2 linked regions of the Yarrowia lipolytica genome follow. The protein of the gene in region 1 interacts with the protein of each later gene in a pairwise test. Links are inferred from orthologs where the notes say so. Each region holds a gene or a part of one and is shown on either strand. Other genes may lie near its edges.

The links.
Region 2: the proteins of YALI1_B15180g (region 1) and YALI1_E39395g interact in binary tests that used the Saccharomyces cerevisiae proteins (3 or more experiments, as listed by UniProt). The link is inferred for Yarrowia lipolytica from reciprocal best matches to the Saccharomyces cerevisiae genes ALG14 and ALG13.

The regions. Positions count from the first base shown.
Region 1 is NC_090771.1:1,516,869-1,520,289, forward strand, and holds YALI1_B15180g (uncharacterized protein), read right to left. Parts: upstream 1,159-3,421; coding exon 508-1,158; downstream 1-507. Other genes in the region: YALI1_B15192g (uncharacterized protein), read left to right, coding at 2,384-3,421. UniProt on the Saccharomyces cerevisiae protein: Involved in protein N-glycosylation. Essential for the second step of the dolichol-linked oligosaccharide pathway. Anchors the catalytic subunit ALG13 to the ER.
Region 2 is NC_090774.1:3,937,435-3,940,745, reverse strand, and holds YALI1_E39395g (uncharacterized protein), read right to left. Parts: upstream 1,258-3,311; coding exon 667-1,257; downstream 1-666. Other genes in the region: YALI1_E39414g (uncharacterized protein), read left to right, coding at 1-442; YALI1_E39385g (uncharacterized protein), read right to left, coding at 1,608-2,261; YALI1_E39378g (uncharacterized protein), read left to right, coding at 2,889-3,311. UniProt on the Saccharomyces cerevisiae protein: Involved in protein N-glycosylation. Essential for the second step of the dolichol-linked oligosaccharide pathway.

The sequences.
Region 1 (3,421 bases):
CAAAATTTTAATGCGATTAAAAAGAATATCCAGGATATGTAAGACCTTTGTGGATACTATGAAGCTTTAAATCTCAACGTCCGACTCACATTGCCCTGATAAAGACATTATCTCATTACCAAGTAAAAACCCTAAACTTGTTGAGGACATGATGCAGGAGCCGCATGCACCATTAAAATTACGAGCAAAAAGCATGTATACGAGATGTGTAGAGCTCAAACTGATGACTAATGGATCATACAGGAGCGCGGTGTGATGAACGTAGTAATCAAGGTCAGATCGACCACAGATACATGGGGTCCTTAGTGGTGAAGGTTTGTGATGATTATAGATGCTTACATAACCTCTGAGTAAGAAGCACGGAGGTCGGATGTCGTTCATCATTGGTACTCGTACCCAGACTCGTACGGTAGGCTGTTAAATATTGTAAAAAATCAGATCAGGGAATAAATAAATTAATAGCTATGGAGAAAGGGAGACTGCTTCTACAGTATGCTTGCAATCTGGCTAAACTAGAATGCCGTGGTACTCGGCTCTGGGGTACTTTTCGGCCAACTGAGGCCACTGCACGAGGAAACGGTCGCAGAACGGCAGCAGGATGAGCCCACTGAGGCTGAGACGATTCACTCTAGCAAGAGACTCGACGTAGATGATTCGTGTATCAATGAGAGCCATGAATCTCAGCAGAAAGGCTGCGTAGCACAGCATGACACAGGTGGCAGGGCCGTTACACACAATGACGTGAGGCTTGTGTTTGTGCACGAGTTTAACAGCCACAGCGAACGATACGGCAGACGTGATCACACTGGACGGATAGGATTGACCCACTTTTCTCGCTCGAGGAATGTTTTCGAGAACCATTGTCTTGATGTCTGTTTTGGTGGTGCTCTCCAGCACCTTGACTTTCTCAAGTGAATCCACGTCTCCCGAGGACGACACGTAGACTCGCTTTGCGTAGCTTTGGAGCTTGAGGGTCTTGAGCATCCGCAACATCTCACCAGTATGGCCCCCTGATCCCATCATGACCATGAGTTTTGGATTTGAGTGTTTCGGTCTGTATAGGAATCCGAATCGGTTCGATGCTGGCAACACAAACAGAAGCCGTAACAGTAGTAGTACCAATATGGCCGAGGCGGCTATGAGTATCGTGGTGACCATGCTGAGGGTTCTTGTGTTTATTTGTGTTGGAGAGAAACGGGTCTGTTGTGTGTCGAGAGATCGATAGTGGCCGTATGTGCTTAGTGACCGTGCTTGTATTATTGAACAAGTAGCGTCACTCAATGGATGTTGTGTTCTTGGTATCCGTCGTGGGTGTCGTGTGAGAACTGTCGCGATTTAACGCCAGTTGGCAGAACAACACTGCATACCAGCACGACCGTTTCGAAACCTTGTTGAAGTAAAGAACTTGCATACTTGGGGATTAATTAAGCGAGAGGGGTTACGTACTGCCGTTGGGAGTGGGTCAGAGATTGTTGGTGGTGAAACTGTAGGGAGTGGGGTGAGTGTACATCCGTTACAGTACTCTTAGACATGCTGTAACAACGAACTCAAGAAACAGAGGGGAATGCAGAGAGGGGTTGTTGAGTAAAACCCCTCAATAACGGAGAGTGCACATCGATTGAGACATGACGTGTATGATAGATGCATCTTCAATGAAATATCTCGTAATTCGTACCGTATGTACAAGTGCTGTACTCGTACCTCTGATGGTCTCCCACCGAAGGCATATCTCAAGAAAAAAGGCTCACACCATTCTCTACAGGGGGACAAGCAGGGGCTCTAAGTACAAGTACAGAAGTACAGTACAATACATACTGTAGCTGTGAATTGGGGTCCTTGACTGACAAGATGGTAGGTCCCAGAATTGGTATATTCTACTGGTGCAATACGAGTAGTACGAGTACAGTAACACATAATTGAAGAAGCGTAGCATCAATTTTATATGTAATAATTACTGGAGTGCCAGCCACGTGTTCCTTGCACATTAGACAGTTCCAATTTTGTTCGCTGGCAGATGCACAGTGTCGATATAATAGTGTATTAGGTCAATGGAGTCCACCAAACTTCTAGAGTAACATGTCTTCACAATTTGACACGAGAACACTATCACCAGATAAACAAGTACGATCCCAATACTCTAGATGTGCCACTAGTGCGGCTTCAAAGTGGCTTAATAATACTACAGTACTGCCCTACACTGTACGATATACCACTCTGGCCAAAAACCTGCCCTCCAATGTTTTCTTCACACCCCCCATATCTACAGTAAACTTCACCTAAACGAAACTCAATTAGTTGATGCCCAACTCCCACAACAGCCCAGACGCGTCCCAGTATACTTCATAAACACTTCATTAACACACGAGATATTCGACCAGCAACCATGGCGGAGGTAACCGTGAAAGACCCGGCTTACGGAGGCCAAGAACTGACCATTTCAAGCCTGCTGTTTTCGCCCTACTCCTTTTTCGTCACCATAGACGTGCCCAAACGCAAGGCCGTCATGGCTCTGATTAGCAAAGGAGGGGGAACAATCGTTTCCAGACCGTCAAACACCACGCCAATCGACTACTGGCTCGTTCCCGATTACTTCGAAGGAAACACACGTCTTGGAGCCAAGCGCGTCTCCATTGTCTTGGACAGTGCAAGACAGGGACAGTTTCCCCCATTACGCGACTCTGGAGGCGAAGATTACTACTCGCCGTTCGCCAAGACCAAGAAAGCGCGAACCGAGTATACCGACGGAGAAGTGCGGTTCCTTACAGCTTATATCGACATGCACGTTGGAAAGCCACCTCTGGGTAAGTCAGATCTCAGATATCTGTTCGAACTTATGAACCACAAACATACCGAAGAGAGTATCAGATCGAAACTCAAACAGCTGGAAAAGTTCCCAGTGAATCTGGAACGGACGAAGCCGGTGAGCTACCAGGCTCCTGTTGTTGAGAACGACCTCGTCGCGAAGAAGACAACTGAAACACCTATTCCAGGTACTCGCTTTCCTGATGTTCTTCTAAATTCGATCCCTGCAGCCAAGAGAACCTCAGCGGACACGGTGCTGGCGACTCCAGTTCCGGTTAAACCGCTTGCTATGTCTACGCAATTACCCGATACAACTATGGAAGTGCCAGATACACCAATACCTTCTAAAAATACGCATGGTAAGACGAAACAGGGAAACACCCAGGTGCCTGGTACACCTGAGACGAAGAAAGGGACGTTTATTTCACCCCAAAAGTTATCGCCGAAGTCGGCTCAATCGTCTCAGTCATCTAATCAAGTTCCTGACACGCCTGCCAAGTCAGAGCAGCCCGCTCCTGCAACAGAAGCGGCTCAGAACGCTACTACCGTCGGTTTACACAAAAATCCTGCAATCACAGAGGTCCCAGCTACTCCTGCTGGTCCAGATATACAGGTCGAG
Region 2 (3,311 bases), on another chromosome or scaffold:
CATTTCCGGAGAAAGCATGGGTGTGGATTCTGTAAAGGATCTTGCCTACACTCCCGTCTGGTACCTCGACTACAACATTGATGCCAGCAAGTACGACGGCCGAAAGCTTGAGCAGACCATGCCCCATGGCTTCAATGTTCTTCTTTACGTCATGAAGGGAGGTGCTACCGTTGACGGCCAGGTTCTCAAGACCAACGATGTGGCCATATTTGACACTGCCGGTGACGGAGTTGAGTTCCGAGCATCCGAAACCGAGGACTCTCGAATCATCGTCGTGGGTGGCCAGATTCTCGACCAACCCATTGTTCAGCACGGCCCTTTCGTTTCTACCACTCGGGAGGGTATCATGTCTGCCATGATCGATTACCAGAGCGGTAACAACGGCTTTGAGCGAGCTCCTACCTGGGTCAGTGAGATTGGTAAGCGAATGACTGGACGATAAACACCAAGGTCAGAGTATGTACAGTATGTACTAGACAGCACAAATCCACTAACTTTCCCACCAAACACAGCCAGCACGACATGGCAACGCCGTCTTATATAAAGTAAATAATTGCTACTTAATGAAATACAACATGAAATAACTTAGTTGATGTAGAAGCGTAGATCATAGTCCGTTTACGATGGAAAGTAGCTACCTTTCTTCGCAACCTCACGCCCAATACCTTACATAAAAGACACAGTCTCCTCAATAATGCGCTGTAGAATACCCTCTTCGGGATCGGGAAGAGTCTCAAATAGATACTCCCGATGCATTTTAAGGGCTTTGATGAACCCAACAGAGTCCGTGTCTCCTGAAACGAGCAAATGCCGTTTCCGGAACAGTTCCTCGGCAATCTCAATCTGGTGGTTGTCCATCAATTTACTGTTCACCACAACCACTGGATGTTTGCCTATTCTGAGTGCATCCAAAACAGATCCAGTTCCTGCATGCGAAATAACCAAATGTGCCCTCGACATTTCACCTGCGAGATCATCGGTGTACTCAAACCCCGTTATCGACATGACGCCTTCCTTGTGATGTTTTGTGAAGATATGGCGATTGCCCCGTCCGTATTGAACGCGCATTTTGGAGAATCCCAGCTGGGAAAGCGTAGTAATGGATTCATGTGAGAGTACCAGCTCGATGAGAGCCTCAAACGGCACCGTTCCACCTGTTGTTACCAAGACCAGCATGGTGGTGTAGATGTTGAGGATGATGAATACGACACTACAGTCCCAGTTGTACAACTTACTCAATGCACTGCTTTCATGCATGACCGATTGAGGTCCAGGACGACTAGGATTGGCACACTGTTAGGTGGGATATTCCAAACGACTGTGACAGAAATCATGTCTGCTACTGGGCTGATTCTACATCTTTTAAAGCCGAAAAACGCGTACTCTGGCTGCATCTGCTTTTGTGCTGAATTTGAGTGTAGAGTTCGTTCGATTTACGTGTCAGTATACATGGACAAGTTGACACGGCTATTAAGATGCCAGAACTTGTGTGTGGCAGTAGCTACAAGTAGTGTACTAGTACAGCACCTCAAAAGCACATAATGTGACACTTCAACCAACACAAATTACTAATTGTTACTTCATTAAATCATTATCTTATCATACATTTAGTAACCAGCGGCACCAGGGGCGTCGACGTCACCCTTGAGAGACAGAAGAATCTCTCGGAATCGAGTCTTGTCTCGAGAACCCTCCTTGGTTCCGGTGTCAGAGTCATCAATCAGCTTCAGAGCTCGGTCCCAGGTGGTGCCAGAGGAAGAGGAAGTATCATCTATGCTTGCAAGGAACTCCTTGGCGGCCTCCTGAGTGGACTTGACGCCCTCATCACGCTTGGAGTTGTAGTTCTCGTAAAAGTCGTCAATGGCCTTCTGGGCCTTCTCAATGGTCTCCTTTCGCTTAGCCTCGGCCTGCTGGTCTCGTCGCTCAATCTCCAGCTGCTGTCGCTCCTTCCACTCCTTGATAGCGGTGGACTCGGACAGGTTCAGGCTCTTGACGGAGGTCTCAAGGCCATCGACGGGAGAGGAATCCTCGGTAGCCTCAGCAGTAACAACGTTGCCGGTGGTAGCCTGTGTCTCCTCCTCGAGGGCGGGGAAGTCCTCCTTGAATGCGTTCTCGGTGAGATCGTTCTCCTCGTCCTCCAGGGAAGGGAACGACTTCTTGAAGTCATCCTCGTCGGCGTGGGTGTCCTTGATGTCGACATCGACTTCGACATCCTGAGGGAGATCGTCAATATCTTCGAGAGCGGGGAATTTGTCAGCCATTGTTGATGTGTGTGACGTTGCGTTATTTGGGTGATGAATCTTGGGAGGTGATGATGTGGAGCTTATTGACGTCACGTGTCATGAAAGTCTAAAATGTTGATAAGGTGGCTGTGGTTGTGCGAGGAGGAAAATCACGTATGGAAGTGAATTGTTTTTGTTTTTTTTGAAATTAATCCGATCAATGCGACCAATTCATTATCCCTACATTTCCAGTAGCCCCACACAATCTCTGGAGCCCCCGTTCTGACTGTACTCAGGCACAGTCAATGACCAGCCTTCTTTGGATTACTGTACGTACAAAATGTACAGTAGTCCCAATGGCAACATCGTACAAATATTTGTTGAAATTGTACTTTAATTAGTTGGTCAGACAAGGACTATGCAGAACAACGTAAATAAGTTACGAAAGGCCTAAAAACCGACTTGCAGTTTGCTGCAATTCTCCAGAACAATCATTTTAGCGACCGCTTTTACTGTCTGGAGACAACCAGAAAAGCGACACACCTGTTTTTACACCGTAACCGACAACAGGAACGTTACTGACACACACACACACACACACAGATCCACAGGGGCTTTTAGCAAGCATCATCACTTCATATCTCATCCTATTCAACACAACACCACATGTCTTTCTCAGTGGACTCTTTCATGTCGAAGCTGTCGGCACTCAATGAGACCCAGGACTCAATTGTCTCGGTGTCTCAATGGATCCAGTTCCACCGACGAGCTTGCGGACCCATCGCACAGACCTGGTACGACTACATTCGAAACATTCCTCTCAAGCGAAAACTGGCTATGATCTACCTCGCTAACGATGTGGTCCAGCAGGCCAAGGCCAAGAAGAGAGACGAATTCATCGAGGCGTTTTCCACTGTCATTGTGGACGGAATAGTATCCACCTACCGCGAGGGCAACACCGATCTCCGGAACAAAATCAAGCGAGTGGTGGAGGTCTGGGAACAGCGACAGGTCTTCAGACCCGACGTAATCGAGGAGATCAATAGCAAGACAAGACAGCTTGACAGCAGCGAAGGGCCCACCGGATCA